Linked DNA regions of Elephas maximus indicus. The protein of the gene in region 1 purifies or fractionates together with the protein of each later gene. This does not show direct contact. Links are inferred from orthologs where the notes say so. Each region holds a gene or a part of one and is shown in the gene's direction. Other genes may lie near its edges. The genes, in order: SERBP1 and TSR1.

Region 1 (7,965 bases):
CATGAGCCCAAGAGACAGAAAGGGCCACATTACCAGAGACTACATCAGCCTGAGACCAGAAGAACTAGACAGTGCTCGGCCACAACCTATGACTGCCCTGAGAGGAAACACAAGAGAGAACCCCTGAGGGAGCAGGAGAGCAGTGGGATGCAGACCCCCTACTTCTTGTAAAAAGATCAGACTTAATGGTCAGACTGAGACTAGAAGGACCCCAGAGGTCATGATCCTGTCCCCAGACCTTCTGTTAGCCCAAGACAGGAACCATTCCCAAAGCCAACTCTTTCAGACAAGGATTGGACTGGACTATGGGATGGAAAATGATACTGGTGAAGAACGAGCTTCTTGGGTCAAGTAGACACATGAGACTATGTTGGCATCTCCTGTCTGGAGGGGAGATGAGGGCGGAGGGGGCCAGAAGCTGACTGAATGGACATGAGGAGAGAGTGGAGGAAGGGAGCGTGCTGTCTCACTGCGGGGAGAGCAATTAGGAGTGTAAAGCAGGGTGTATTTAAGTTTTTATATGAGAGACTGACTTGATTTGCAAACTTTCACTTAAGGCACAATAAAAATGAATTAAAAAAAATGGTGCTGGCAAAACTGGATATTGATTTGCAGAAAAATTAAACGGATCCATACCTCACACCTTACATAAAAATTAATTCAAAATGGACCAGACCTAAATGTCAAACCTAAAACTATAAAGATCCTGGAAGATAACACAGGGACAAAGCTAGGGGTCCTAATTTGTGGCATATATCAACTGTCAAACATAACTAAAAACGCACAAACAACAAAAGAGAAACTAGAAGCTGGGACCTCCTAAAAATTAAATACTTGTGCTCATCAAAAGACTTCAGCAAAGAGGTAAAAGGAGAACCTACAGACCGAGAAAAAATTTTTGGCAACAACATATCTGAAAAGGGTCTAATCTCTAAAATACATAGAAAACTTAAACACCTACCTCAACAACAAAAAGACAAATGGTCCAATCAAAAAATAGGTAAAGAACATGAACAGACACTTCACCAAATAAGATACTTGTGAAGAGATGCTCATGATCATTAGCCGTTAGGGAGATGCAAATCAAAACCACAATGAGATACCATTTCACGCCAACAAAAATGACACTGATCAAAGAAACAAAAAACAACAAATGTTGGTGAGGCTGTGGGTTGACTGGAACTCTTATGCACCCCTGATAGGAATGTAAAACGGTACAACCATTATGGAAAACGATATGGTGTTTCCTCAAAAAGCTAGAAATAGAAATACCATATGATCCAGCAATCCCATTATTAGGCATTTATCCTAGAGAAATAAGAGCAGTGACACAAATAGACACATGCACATCCACGTTCACTGCAGCAATATTCACAATAGCAAAAGGATGGCAACAACCTAAGCGTCCATCAATGGATGAATGGATAAACAAAATGCGGTACGTACACACAATGGAATCCTACTCAACAATAAAGACTAATGATGAGTCCACAAAACATCTTACAACATAGATGAATCTGGAGGACATAATGCTGAATGAAATAAGTCAATCACAAAAGTCAAATACCATATGATACCACTTTTATGATAAGTTACGGAAAGGTTTACTCACAGAAAGCAACATTCTTTAATGGTTACCAGGTATGGGAAGGGAAGGGAGGAAGAACCACTTAATAGACAGCAGACACATGTTAATTCTGGTGAAGGAAAAGACAGCAAATAATACGGGGAAGTTAGCACAATGTGACCAAGGGAAATGAAGACACTGAGAGGTACACAAGAATAAAGGATGACTACAGTAATGACCATACCATATACAGTTGAGCAACAACAGTAAGAACGACCCAAAAATCTGTGAGTGGTTACGTGGGTAGATACATATGCTATATAGAGGTGGGAGGGCGTATAGGAGTGTACGCACATGCCTGTATGGATATAGTTGTAATTGTATATACAAACTTAAATAAACTGCATATATATTCATATATATAAAAGAGCATATGGGAGCACAGTAATGGAAACCTCTTAGACATATGCAAACACCTCATGGGACTGAGTCACTGAGCTTGAAGGATAAGGAACATAAGTCTCAGGGGACATCTAGCTCAACTGGCACAGCATAATTCATAAACACAAGGTTCTACATCCGTTTGGTGAGTAGCACCTGGGGTCCTAAAGGCTTGCAAGCTATGTTCTAAGATACAACTACTGGCCTCTTCTTGTCTGGAGCAAAGGAGAGTGAAGGAAATTAAAGACTCAAGGAAGAAATTAGTCCAAAAGACTAATGGCCTATGGGAACCACAGCCTCCTGCAGCCTGAGACCAGATGAACTAGATGGTGCCCAGCTACCAATATCAACTGCTCTGACCAGGAACACAGAGAAGTTCTTGGGTAGAATGGGAGAAAAATGTAGAACGAAACTCAAATTCATAAAAAAAGACACACCTACTGGAATGATAGAGACTGCAAAAGCCCCCAAACTATCGCCCTAAGATATCTTTCCAACCTGGACTGATGCCACTTCCAGAGGTCACCCTTCACCCAAATAACAGACTGGCATATAAAAATGAACTGTAACACCCCCTGAGGAACGTGCCCCTTAGAACAATTAACTAAATGAGACCAAATGGGCAACATTTGCCCCAAAGCAAAGATGAGAAGGCAAAGAGGGGAAGGGAAACTGGAAGGATGGAAATGGAGAAGGTAGGGTGGAAATGGGGGAAGCGCTGACCCATTGCTGGTGGAGAAGGGGAAATAGCAACCAGTGTCAGGGAACAATTGGTATACGAATTGTTGAATGGGAAACAAATCTGTTGTATAAACTCTCACCTAAAGCCCAATCTTTAAAAAAAAAAAAAAGTTGATATCAACATTCTCACAGTGGAATTTAAAGACCGGGTTAACTCTTGGCATTGGCATTTACTAGAAGTGTGAACTTGGTAAATCATTCCACCTCTCTGAAATGGCTTCATCATCTGTGCAAAGGGGAAACGTTACAAGTTGTTGAGATTAAAGTTACTCATGGCACCTGGCACATAAGAGATTCATCTTTTATATTGTGTGGTAATGGCGTAAGATTTAAAAATTACACGCTGTATTTAAACATTTACAGTGTTAACAAATGTGTTTGAATATGCACTCACACTGAATTACCTTAAAAAACCATAACAAACCTACTGCCTTCAACTCAATTCCGACTCATAGTGACCCTGTAAGAGCAGAGTAGAACTGCCCTGTAGTGTTTGCAAGGCCGTATATCCTTACCGAAGCAGAAGGTCACATCTTTCTCCATAAAGCGCCTGGTGGATTCCAACCTTCGACCTTTCGTTTATTAGCGGAGAGCTTTAACCACTGACCCACCAGGGCTCCTTTATAGACTTTAATATTTTCAAGTAATAGCAACGCTTTTAGTAATGTCAATTTGCTGCCATGTTTCCCTCCCCTCACTGCACCTCCAAACAAACTAAAATACTCTAAATCTAATATTTACTGAGCACATTTTACTTAACACCACAGCCACCTACCCCTGCCTCCCAAACAATAATAGTAAAAAAAAAAAAAAAATAGACAATTAGATTAGCTCTATAAAGTGTTGTTACAAACGGTGCCTTTTCGAGACTTGCCCAGTGTCTAGTGCTGCACTGTAGGGACTTAACAGCTCTAAAGCACCCTTTGCAACGGGGCATTTCTTGCGTGGGAAAGGCGCGTAACCGTCCCATGTGATAGTTCAATTTGTCTTTTCGATTAATTTTGCTACCGGAGTTCAAGTCTCCGCGAGAGGAAGCGTACTCCGCCTCACATTAAACATTAAGAGCCTCAATTCATTACTAGGGGGATGAAGGAGGGCAACTCCAGCCACTGAGCGGCTAGGGACTAGAACATACAGGGTCCTGCTTACCGGAGGCCAGCCAGCACCTCCGTACTCCCCCTCCCCCGGAAGTTTGTGAGTCTCCAGTTGAAAGATCTAGGAGTCACCTTGACCCTCCCGAAGAGATGGAGAAAGTTAGCCTTGAGCCTGCGGCGAGGAGAGTAAAACCAAAAACAGCACTTTCGCAAGTAAAATACGCCGTCACGTTTTCCTGTTTTCAGGGTAGCTAGATATCTGGAGAGTTTAAGGGTGGCAAGAGCAGGTGGCAGGACTCCGCCCACCACCGCACTTCTCCTCCCTCAGCTCGCACGCTTCATTCCCTTCACGAGGTCCTGCCTCTCAGGCGCGCGCGAAGAGTTGTTCCGTGATGCATTCTGGGAATTGTAGTCGCAGTGCCGGGTGACTCCTCTGGAGAAACGACTCTGGCCTACATAGCCCATGGTGCCGTGCGGCGGTGGCCGCTCCCGGATATGTGCCTGGCGCCGGAAGAGAAGAAGGCCCCCCTCTCTCGGCCCGGCCATCTTGTGGGAAGAGCTGAAGCAGGCACTCTTGGCTCGGCGCGGCCCGCTGCAATCCGTGGAGGAACGCGCCGCCCAGCCACCATCATGCCTGGGCACTTACAGGAGGGCTTCGGCTGCGTGGTCACCAACCGATTCGATCAGTTATTTGACGACGAATCGGATCCCTTCGAGGTGTTGAAGGCGGCAGAGAACAAGAAAAAAGAAGCCGGCGGGGGCGGTGTTGGGGGCCCTGGGGCCAAGAGCGCAGCTCAGGCCGCAGCCCAGACCAACTCCAACGCGGCAGGGAAACAGCTGCGTAAAGAGTCCCAGAAAGACCGGAAGAACCCACTGCCTCCCAGTGCTGGCGTGGTTGACAAGAAAGAGGAGACGCAGCCACCCGTGGCGCTTAAGAAAGAAGGTAAAGCTTGGGTAGAAGGTGGGGAAGACCGGGGACGGAGGGCAGGAGCGAGGGGAGTTGCGGCTGCCACTTGCTTCTGGAGTTCCGAGGAGCCGCGACAGATTTTGCCGCCTGTTTCTTCATGATTCTCCCACGCGACAAAAGCCAGGTCCTGTAAAGTGCAGGGAGCGTGGTAGTCCCAAGTTCAAGCCACTGTCTGCAAGGATCCCCGGAGCCACCCCCTTCCCGCCTCGGGTTCTGAGCGGAGCAGAGGAGCGTGGTCCGGAGATAAGCTGCTCTTGATCGTGCTCGGCGTCCTGGGAGGCTGTTGCCTTCCCGCCGGATTCCTTGGCGGGCGAGCGCGTGGACAGAGGTGCGGGGAAGCAAGCCACTTACTGCAGCTTTAGTAGTTGAGGAGGAGCTTGGGGTCCACAGCTTCTTCCTGCGCAGTTCTTTTTCAGCGTGTTTTTTTGAGGTGGTGTCTGTTTTAGTCTTCTGTCCTGCCATCTTGTCCCACGATGGCGTGGAGTACTCCGGTGAAAAGCTGGGAGTCGGAGTTTAGACCTCAGTTGCTTCTGTATTTGAGATGATCAGATACTGTGGAGTAGGCTGCTGTTTGGTGTGCCACACGTGCTTCATCCCCCCCCCCCCGGCAAGTATTTTATAACTTGGAGTTAGTTAAGCTGTTAGGAGAGGGATTTGGCTACACTCTTTTAAGCAGAAGCGGGAATTCTGAAAACTATGTTTGTTGCAGAAAGTCTTGAGAATCGCTCTTCTGCTCTTCCAACTCCCCGCACGTAATGTTCCATGTGGTGTGGCGTTGTCTGGGCCTCGTGGTGTGAAGTGAGTGCAGAGGCTGTCACAACATTAGCCGCTGCTGGAGCTCTTTTGAGTCTGCAGCCTTTTCTCCACCTGTGGAAGCATGGTCAGGATTTTACTGGCCGGTGATAGTTGCTTTCAGGGCACTGTCAATTTCGTAGAATTGTCTTGAGTTTGATTTTTGCGTTCTCATTACTGGTTTATCTGTTTTGGTGAATGGAAAAGAGCAAAATAATTGGGGGTAAAAGAAAAACGGTATAGGACCTGAGTTGCTTTTATATGTTGAAAGTTGAGATTACCTTTTACTGCCACGTGCTCTTGGAAGGAGTTGTTTCTCGTTAGCCTTGATTGAATTCTGTAGTATTCAGTTAATGGAAAAAAGCAAACCAAAATTTCACTTGTGTTGAGAGTATTGGAATTCGGTTTAAGAAATTTTCATTTTTATGCTAAATATTTTTGAGCCTATGTGGAAAAGGAGCCCTGGTGCCAATGTGGTTAAGAGCTTAGTCTGCTAACCAAAAGGTCAGCAGTTCGAATCCACCAGCCACTCCTTGGAAGCCCTATGTGGCAGTTCTCTGTCCTTTAGGGTCGCTATGAGTCAGAATTGACTCGACAGCACACAGCAAAATGTGGAAAAACCTAGGTGGTGAGTGAAAGAGTTGTATTAGAACTATAGGTTGGGGGAAAGCACAATTTGTAATCTTAGAAAACATGTGTATATCACTTAGATCAATTAAGCCTTATGGCCACCTGTAGCACAATTGAATAAAACATTTAATTCCTGTCTCAGGGAACACACATTTGAGTAAATATTAGAACTGCCCAGATTTGTTTCCTTGATTACACTCATCCAAAGAAAGCACGTGAAAGAACTGAGTATGAAACATCTAAGATGTTACCAGGTAGGTGTGTTCACACGTTTTGAATTTTGAAAGCATACGAAGTGTGGTTTAATGCCTCAGTTGTTTTGATCATAAAAGCCCATCTTTGAAATAAAATAAGCTCTTACTGACAAACTAGTGTTTTACGTTATAAAGAGAATATTTTCATAAATTTATAACTGGGACAAAGTTCGCCATTCTGGAGTCATTTTTTCCATGGGAAAATTATTCCATATTAACTCAACATTTTCCTTAGATCAACATTGTAGAGCACCCTTGAACTTGAGTTGCATAAAACGTAAGTTTATAGATAATAAAAAAAAAAACTTGAATGAAAACCAAAATTTGTTTTGAGATTCTAGCACTTGTTCGGCAATGTTCTGAGCATTGGGGATAAACCTGTAAACAAAGTCCCTACCCTCTTGTAGTGGGATGAATAATAGGTCCAGGTACAGTGGTAGACATAACTCTGATAAGTATTTAGTGTTTGTATTATATGAATTAATTTTGTAGCTTGTCATTTGTCCATTTGAAGAACTTCAGAATTGACACAACAGAATGTTACTGAGGATGTAGACCAGTCAAGGTTTTATGGGAATAATAAAAGCCTGGAATCTGGTGAAAATCGGCCTAGAAGTACAGCAAGACAAACCTGTGATTTTATGTCAATTATTTTTCATTGGGTGAATTTATTAAGTTTTTTAGTTTCTGTAATTAAGCCTAATATTGAATATTGGGTGGGGAAGCAAGCTATTGTTCATTTGGGTGTGTTTAGTTTGGATGTCATTATAAGGACTGGTTCCATAGCCCCGCCCCACTACATTATACCTCTGAAGAAACTTACTTAAATGCCTTGGTGTAAGGTCTAACACTTGTGCCCTGTTCTGAGAGTTTACATGGAATGAACTTTAAATTTTTATTAAAGAGCTTGATATTTACTGCTCTGACTTTGGTTAAAATGAATTGAAGAACTGGGTGTGTCCTGATGGTGTTCCACTTTCTTAGAACCGAAATGAATCAACTTAAGATCTTGTTACAAAACCAATCCCTCAGCTGCTTTTTGGCTTTGTCAGAAATTGTGGCTTGAGGATAATAGCATATCTAAAATCTTACAGGTGAATTTATGAATTTAACCCGTTAATCTGTTTATCCTTTAGGACATCAGTAAAGCACACTGGTTGCCTTTGGTGGGCCTCAGACACTAATAGGGAAAAAAATAATGAGGGAAATCAGTAAATGCTTCAGCTGTCACTTAGTGCCAAAAATTACTATTTCTTAAATGTTGCTTAAAGAGGAAATTTTTTTTTTTTTAGTATGGTTTTAAAAGGTTTTTCGAGAAGATATTTCTAAGGGCAAACTAAAAAAAGTCCTCTCCATCCATAATAAAAAATAACTGAACAGTTTCCTAGTGGTTACGTAACAATATTAAAAAAGTTTGGTGGTATGTGTATACATGTACCACAGCCAACCAAACCTACTGCCGTTGGGGTGATTTTGACT
Region 2 (8,653 bases), on another chromosome or scaffold:
TCAGAAAGTCTGCAGTGGGGGCCCAGGAGTCCGTTTTAACAAGCGTTTAAGGTGATCTGGTGCATGCTAAAATTTGGGAATTACTGTCCCAGGGCACTAAAAATATTCATTATTGGTGGTGGTTGATTAACGTAATTGCTATCACTAAATTGTACACCTAAAAACAATGAATCCGCAAATGTTATACAAATTTTTACAACAATTTAAAAATATATGCATATATACATGTTTTCTTGGGCCTGGAGATCCCAATTCAGTAAATCTGGGAGGGGGCCTCAAGGAGATTCCAAAAGCTCCCGAGTTGATTCTGACTTGCAGCCAGGTTTGAGACCTACTAAACCTGGCTCCAGGGCCATGTCCTCAGTTCTAATGCTGTCTCACCTTCCACTCTCTCAAGTCCCCCAGCCATTCACTCACCACACAGAGCAATGATATGGCTGCTATCTTCATGCACAAACTTCCTGGTGACAGCCTCCTCCATGATTTGCTTCACCTGTGGACAAATAAGCAGCATCCTTATTATACACAAATTTTTTTCCTGGTCAAAGGCCTCTGTGTAAGGAAATCACTTGGGTTCTGTCCCCCTGGTCTGGGTTCAGACAGCACAGAGTAAATGACAGGGATGGGAAGTGGGAAAGCAAAGTTTCTTCAGCACAGGCTGCTTTTAGCCTTTTGGGGAGGCAACCAGGAAAAGAAATGGCATAACCCCAGCAAACAATCAGTACGACTGTTCCAGCTCAGGGGGAAGTGCCACACCGTGGAGAACAGGGGTGGGATGCTGTTTGCTCATCTGGAGAAGGGCTTCTGGGGAAACACACTGTTCTTTAGAGACAAACTGTCTCAGTACGGGCTGTAGATAAACAACCTGCCCTGCCTGTTCTCCCCCTTCTCTGAGGTTAGGGGCTAGATCTGTCTAGACCTCAGGGACACTCTCCACATGCTCACAAGCCTTGACTTCTTTTTATCAAGGTTCTAAAACACTGTTTCAGGTTCCTATCTGCACGTAAAAGCTTCCAAATACCTTGTGAGTGGGCTGTCACCTTTCTTCCTTTAAGCATTAAAAAAAAAAACAACAACAATTTATTGATGCAGAGTAAACACCTAGAAAATGCATCAAAAAAACCTGCTGCCATCGAGTCGATTCCAACTCATAGCAACCCTATAGGACTGAGAACTGCCCCGAAAGGACACAGATCATAATTACACAGCTTGATGAGTTTTCACAAACTGAACACACCTGGGAAACCAGCAAACAAAACGGCAGCACGTGACCTGCACCCCAAAGCTTCCCTCCCACCGCACTGTCACGTCCTCTGCTCCAGCGTACCCACTATCCTGACTGCTAACACCATAGATTAGCCTCACTGGTTTTTGTGTTTTCAATGGAATCACACCATGTGTAGGGTTTGTGACTGGTTTCTGTTGATTACCTATGTGACTGTGAGATCTGTCCATGCTCTTGCACGTAACTGTAGCTTGTTGGTTCCCACTGCTGTGTTCTACTCTATGAATACACCACAACTGATGGGCCCTTGAGTAGTTCCCAGTTTGGAGCTGTCATGAATACTGGTGGCTATGATGGGTTTTTTTAATGAACATTCTGGGCATGCCTTTTGGTGAACATACATATGAAATTCTTTTGATTTATACTTGCAGGCAGGGAGTTTCTGGGTCATGGAGCATGCATGTATTCAGCTTTACTAGATATTGTCCAATTGCCCCCCAAAGTGGTTGTACCAATTTACACTCCCACCAGCAGTGTATGAGTCACTCCCAACACTTCAGCCAAGCACTTCTTATGTCCTGGGGGAACCTGGGGCAGAAATGCCAGGAGACAGATACTAATACTAGAGATTACAGGGATGGATTTTCTTTATCCCAGCATAAATCTTACAGATAAAGTAAACTAGTCTTTGCCGTTCTTCTGACAAGACATTCAGTGTCTTGATGCTGCCACAGCTCCCAAGGCCCTCGCCCAGGACCCTACAGTTTGGAGGGTGGAGGAGCTCCTAAGGCTTGGGGAGAAGAGAGGAAGAAGTTGGAGCCTCCCCCCTGTTGAAAACTGCTCATGGCTAGCAGTTAGGTAAAGGGATCAAATTGATTCATGCACTCTAAACTGTTAACAGCTTCCTAGATTACTTCAAGGAGTGCCTGCATTGAACAGAGAGCACAGCATTTCAACTCAATGGCCAGCAGCCATCTGAAGCAGTCTGGTGGGTAAATTTTGAGGTGAGGAGCACCTACAGAAGTAGGTCCCTAGAATTACACAGAGCACCTCTGTGAAAGGTCAGCCATGTTCCACTTGTAGGACAGAGTAGAACTGCCCCACAGGATTTTCAAGGCTGTAAATCTTTACAGAAGCAGATTGCCACACGTTTCTTCCACATGCCCCTGGTGGGTTCAAACTGCCAACCTTTCGGTTAGTAGCCAAGCTCTTAACCACTGTGCTATCAGGGCTCCCGGGTAAGATACAGAGCTGCGGGATACTCTGGCCATTTGTTTAGGAACCATTCTTGAAGCAGTATAGACAATTTGGGTCACACCAACGATTCTAGCACATTTGGCAACAGCTTAGGTGCAGCAACAGCTGCTTTTTTTTCTTGTTTGTATAAGTCTCCGACACTAGGCTGCTTGCTTCCTGAGGACAAGCACCAAGATTTCTCTTTCCCTCGGGGAGGGCAAAGTTGAGGCTTAAAAGTTGGGGCTTATACCCCTGGCCTAAGAAACCCTTACTTGGCCACTCCACAGCAAAGACACAATGGAGCTTCTCACACACAGCTGGAGAGGTGAGGGTTTCAAACACTTCTTTGCCGGGGGAGGGAAGGAAACAAATGCTAGGGGAGAGTAGGCAGGCCGTGGCTGAAGCAGGATAACCGTCTGAAGCTTTACAGGATTTTATTGGAACCCAGAGTCTTCCCCAACACTGAAACTCTAGGAAGGATTGAAAGAACCAACATGGTAAATGAACTTTTATAGATGAGGTAGATAATATTTTCCTATTTTAGAGATGAAGAAATTGAAGTTCAGAGAGGTTAAGTAACTTACTCAAGGTCACACAGTGCTAGGTCCAGCCTATTCCAAAAATTGTGCTTTCTCACCATGTTTTCCAGTCTCCAAGATCAGCAAATTTATTTGCCATAAAGTCACTGAGTGCCTACTGTGCACCAAGTGCTGGATGCTTAGTGGACAAAACATACAGTTCACACATCTGGCAGACTATAGCCAAAGAGGCAAGTGGTGGAAGGAGCTCAGGGCTTCAGAGGCCTAATCCACTCTAACCAACTCTGCAGGTTTGAGCTCTCCAGCCCTCAGATGGGGGTGAGTCATTCCTATGGGCAACCTCCCCTCTCCTGAAATGAGCTTTTGAGCTGGGTCAAGGTAAAGGGGGTTAGTAGAAGGAAGGACTCTTTCCGATGTGGGGGCCTCCTTCCACAGGGGAAAAAAAAAATCGAGTCCTGAAAACCATTCTTAAAAACAAAACAACTGGTCCCTGGGTAAGGAGGTGGGCGTGGAGTGAGAAGCAGTGAGGTGTGCAGCGAGCCCTCCGGCAGCCACGACTCAGTTCCCAGAGGGATACTGGCGGGGGGAATAGGGAAAAGGGGCACTAACCCCGAAAACACTCGCTTATCACGGCGGGAGGCCCCCGCGGGACCCTGCCCCTTCCCCTGGCGGCGCGGGTAATGAATGGCCAGCTCCGGTTCTCCAGAAATCACCGCCACCCCTCCCCCGACCTCGGCCTCCCGGCGCTGCTGCCGTCACAGGGCGGGGAGCTGCGGGATCACGGAGCAAACAAACCCCGGAGCTCCGGCCTGGCTCCTGGGGCCGAGGGGCCTTGCCCCCCAATTTGGGAGGGGGGCGGGAGCCGCAGCCGGTCCAGGACCTACCCCCGCAAGGCCCAGGGCAGGGCCTGTGAGAGCCGGCGTTCGGGGTGGGTACGGACCTTCTCGCCCCCTGGGCCCCGCGGGCAGGGGCGCGAGACCCCCGGGGTCCTTGCCCCGACTTTACCTCCTTTTTCACGTTCCACAGCAGTTTCTCTTTGACTGTGTCCTCCTCGCTGCCCATGGTGCGAAGGGTGGCGGGGAGGCAGCGCCGAGCGACCCTCCGAGTCCTCCGCGCGCCCTCGCCGCCTCCGCGCTTCTCGGCTCAGCGCCCCACGCGCAAGGCGGAGTCCCCGTCCGCCGCGCTCCCTGCCCGCCGCCGCCGCCACTGCCCGGCGCTCGGCTCCGCAGCCATCTTCCGAGCCCCGCACAGACGTCAGGCGGCTGGCCCGGCCCCTTCCCACAGCCCGGGGAGGGCGCTCAGCGACGGCAGGGATCCGGACGCAGCGGGGCGGCGCGTGCCTCGGGTGGCGGGCCCGGGAGCGCGCCACGCGGGCCGCTGTCATGGCAACGCGCCCGCTCCCGCCCCGAGGGCGCGAACCCGCATTATGAGCGCCCGCAGCTAGCCAGGCAGAAAGCGGGGTGGGGCTTCGGGGCGGGTCCTGGACCCCGTCGGCTCTCGGCTGCGGAGAAAGTCGCCCGCGCGGGGGGCTGGATTCCACCTAGCTAGAGGCCTCCAGACGTCTACCCGCTGATTCTCCCGACGGGAAGGAAAAGAGCGGCTGCGCTGCGAGGGCCCGGGCATTGGGCCTCCGCGGGAGAGGTCTGACCACGGAAAAGCCAGAACTCCGTGTGTCCCCGAGTCCCCCTGCCAGGTCGATCGCCCTCAGTTGCAAGGCTTGTGGGAAGGGTTATGGGCATGCAGCCGCCTCGAGCCAGAAGAGGCTCGGCCGGCCCTGAGGGGACGCGGGTCACAGCCAGCCCTCTCCATCTCCCTCGGGGTCGCCACGTCCGGTCTGGCCCTTCCTGAGGGTATGGGATGTAGGGGCGCGGGGTGGAGCAACAGGGACTAGCGGGAGCTTGTACGGAGCAGGTGAAGGTGAGATGCGCCGTCCACGCCACTCGGCTTGGAAACTTCAACAACCTTGCGAGGGAATTGAGGGAGAGAAGGTTGTTCAAAGTGACAAAGAACACCTGCTGCTGCAAACTTAAAGACCGCGTGCACAAATCTAAGTTCGAGGAGGCCCGAAGCCTCCGCGGCACGAAGGGAGGGACTCCCGTGCAACCTCTTCGGCCGTGATGCAACTTTATAACGCAAAAAAAAGAAAACACAGGAGAGCAAAACACCTCTCCTGGACCGAGAGCCCGAACCACAAAAGTCAAAATACGGCGTTTTTATAAAGCCTCCAATCACAGACTGCCGCGTGGGAAAACTTAACACCACGGCTCGGCCGAGACGCGGGCACTCCGCCCCCCGGGGCTGCGGGGAAAGACCCCGGCGAAAGGCCGCGGGGAACCCTGCCCCTCGGCGGAGAGGGCCCGCCCCTGCCCGCCCCGCTCGGGACCGGAAATGCTCAGCCCGGCCCGGAAGGAGTGCTGACTGCCTGCATGTGAGCGGCGGCATGGCGGCCCATCGCTCCGGCCCTCTCAAGCAGCAGAATAAAGCTCATAAAGGCGGGCGGCATCGGGGTCGGGGATCCGCGCAACGAGACGGCAAGGGTGAGGAGCTAGGGCAGGAGGAGGAATGTCTGTTTAACTGCTTTCCGCATGCCCAAACTGACCTTCCTCGGACCTGGGCCCCGCGTTGAAGTTCCTTTCCAGGGTGGGCGGAGACGGGTCCTCTTTCTTGATCGTCTGATGCACTAGAGCCCTTTCTGATCCGCCCTCCAGGCCGCCTAGCAGTGAAAACTCTAAGCAAGAAGGTGAGAAAAGAGCTTAGCCGCGTAGACCAGAGGCATCGTGCCAGCCAGCTCCGGAAGCAGAAGAAAGAGGCGGTGAGAGGAGCGGGAGTCGGGGAATTGTGTGGCTTCACAACCGCTCTAGGCGGGTAAAGCCTCGAATTAGAAACCGTGACCTTGGGAAGGGGCCGGCGACAGAGCACATGTCGGGCATGAAGATGTAGACCCGCGCTAGGGCATTCCTTGCTTTGATCCGATTTCCTGCCACCCTCCTGGCATACCACCTCTTACAAGAGTTTTGCTGGTTAGGGGGAACATCTGAGTATTGGAAATGCAGTACCAGAACGAAATGCTGAGAGACACTGAGATGCTCTCTGATCCTTTCGATCACCAGGCTCTGGCAGAGAAGAGACAGCTGGGCAGCAAGGATGGCCCTCCCCATCATGTACTCGTGGTGCCCCTGCACAGCAGGATTTCCCTGCCAGAGGCCTTTCGCCTGCTGCAGGATAGTGACACTGGAACAGTACACCTCCGTGAATGGGGAGGCACCGGTAGTTTCATGCTGCTATGCCCCCGGTTGAAACATCGGTGGTTTTTTACATCTGCAAAGCCAGGTTAGGATATTACTATCATTATGTTTGAGTAGGGGTAATCTATATATTTTTTTAATATAATCTGGTGGTGCCAACCACTTCTTACTGACTTTTTCTTGTATCTCCAGGGGATCTGCACACTGTGTTGGATATGGCTAAAGTGGCTGATACCATCCTGTTCCTCCTCGATTCACTAGAAGGCTGGGACAGCACTGGGGATTACTGCCTTTCCTGCCTCTTTGCTCAGGGCCTTCCCACCTATAGTAAGTGAGGAGTACTGGAGGCCATGGAAGGATGTGAATTAGCATTAATTGACCACCTATAATCTGCCAGGACGCTGCCTGGCATTTGATACAGGAAAACCTTGTAGAGCTGATGGCAGGCTGTACGTATATGGCACAAGCTTGGTCCATTATTAACAAATTATTCGCCAACATTCCTTTTTATTTTTAGTCTGTCCTTTGCCCAGAGAAAGAAGAAGACTATGAAGTTTGGTTTCACTGTGAAATGTCTTTAGGGTAGCTGATTTCTGGGTTTCCCAGTGATCTCTGGGCTCACATCTGAACTGTTAATTTGTGAATTGCACGGGGATTTTCGCATAGTGAAGCAATAGATCATCACCAAGCTCTTTTTCTTTTGCTCACAGCACTAGCTGTCCAGGGAGTTTCTGGCCTTCCACCAAGGAAACAAATAGATGCCAGAAAGAAGCTAAGTAAAGCAGTGGAGAAGCGCTTTCCTGATGACAAACTCCTCCTGTTAGACACTCAACAGGAGGCAGGGATGCTGCTCAGGCAGTTGGCTAATCAAAAGCAACGGCATCTTGCCTTTCGAGATCGGCGGGCCTACCTGCTTGCCCATACTGCTGACTTTGTGCCTAGTGAGGAAAGTAACTTGGTTGGCACTTTGAAAGTCTCAGGTTATGTTCGTGGACAAACTCTCAATGTAAATAGCTTGCTGCATATCATTGGACATGGTGATTTCCAGATGAAACAGATAGATGCCCCCATGGACCCTTTCCCTTTAAATTCTGGAGTGATTAAATTTCAAAAGGACCAGGGCATGGCAATGGAGGTAAGATTGATGTTCTTAAAAGCCATTTATTGTAGATTGATACATGAGCTGGTCCAGAATTAGAACCAAGTTCAGAGAAGGTAGGCTGGACACTTAGGCCAGTGAGGCTATTGCCAGTTGGAAGTAAGGCAGTAGTTAACTACAAATATGTTGATAAATCAACTGTTTATCCAGCACTTTCTAGGTGCCTTGCACTTCAGTTGGCTCTGAGTTTATAGGAGATATATGCATTGTCACTTCCCCGTAAAGTGGCACACCTGTGAAACAAAAATAGTACATGGCTAAGGTACAGACCTGCTATGGAAGTTGAGAAAGTAGACTAGCAAACATCACAGAGATCAGATTTGAGCCAGATGTTGAATAGGTTGGAGTTATGAGTTGAAGAGAGATGAAAGAATATTCTAGAAAGAGTTGGGGATAACATGAACCTTGGCACAATTATGGGTCAGAGAGTTTCTTTGAACTCTGACGAAAACAGCTTGATGGGAGCAACTTGGTTGGTTGGGAGTAAGGCCAGCTTATGAAAGATTTCAAAAGCCAAGCTTTTAAGTATAGATTTAAAACAGTAGGAGCCATTTGAAACATTTTGACAAGTTTTGGCTTTCTGTGTCATTGTTTTATTTTCTCTTTGAGTATTTTATTTTCTACTTGAACATTTCATTTAGTCTAGAGGTTTTTGGTTATGGTGTTAAATTTGCTAGCTTTTTGGTTAATATTTGGCTGACCGTCAGCTGCTTTGATTTTCAGATTTGTGCTACTGATGCTGTAGTTGATATGGAGGAAGATCTTAAGGTCCTAATGAAAGCAGACCCTGGTAGACAGCAGTCTTTGCAATCAGAGGTTATCCCAGATCCAATGGAGGGGGAGCAGACCTGGCCCACTGAGGAGGAGCTGAGTGAGGCAAATGGTTGGTGTTGGCAGACTTGTTTGTAATTTATCTGGTTTACAATCAGAATCATAGCTGCTCACAATGAGGAACCTATATATTAGAGTGGGGCGAGGATGTACTTGGAGGTCTGTCTCCTTCCCTCTCCCCTAAATGCTGTATATTTACATTAAGTATTGAACACAGTTTTGCCCCATTTCTCAAAATTGTTTCTGTTCTTGTTTTAGAATGAACAGATAAACACTTTTGGAGTCATTCCAAGGTTTATTTATTTGTATAAGTATTGCTAGTTTTGAGGTGGCTGAATTAAATTTGGAAGTAGTCTGTTCTACTCATAGCGTGTTAGAGTTTCTGGTGTTGGCAGCAATATCTAGCTTCTTGCCTAGG

What was found.
Region 2: the proteins of SERBP1 (region 1) and TSR1 purify together in Homo sapiens (affinity purification with mass spectrometry; 3 studies listed by BioGRID and IntAct, with this or other methods). This does not show direct contact. The link is inferred for Elephas maximus indicus from reciprocal best matches to the Homo sapiens genes SERBP1 and TSR1.

The regions. Positions count from the first base shown.
Region 1 is NC_064821.1:113,361,979-113,369,943, reverse strand, and holds the start of SERBP1 (plasminogen activator inhibitor 1 RNA-binding protein), read left to right. Parts: upstream 1-4,354; 5' UTR 4,355-4,473; coding exon 4,474-4,786; intron 4,787-7,965. UniProt on the Homo sapiens protein: Ribosome-binding protein that promotes ribosome hibernation, a process during which ribosomes are stabilized in an inactive state and preserved from proteasomal degradation.
Region 2 is NC_064837.1:19,436,309-19,444,961, forward strand, and holds the start of TSR1 (pre-rRNA-processing protein TSR1 homolog), read left to right. Parts: upstream 1-5,285; 5' UTR 5,286-5,440; coding exon 5,441-5,537; intron 5,538-5,708; coding exon 5,709-5,812; intron 5,813-6,110; coding exon 6,111-6,330; intron 6,331-6,437; coding exon 6,438-6,572; intron 6,573-6,955; coding exon 6,956-7,380; intron 7,381-8,127; coding exon 8,128-8,287; intron 8,288-8,653. Other genes in the region: SGSM2 (small G protein signaling modulator 2), read right to left, coding at 418-493, 4,006-4,062. UniProt on the Homo sapiens protein: Required during maturation of the 40S ribosomal subunit in the nucleolus.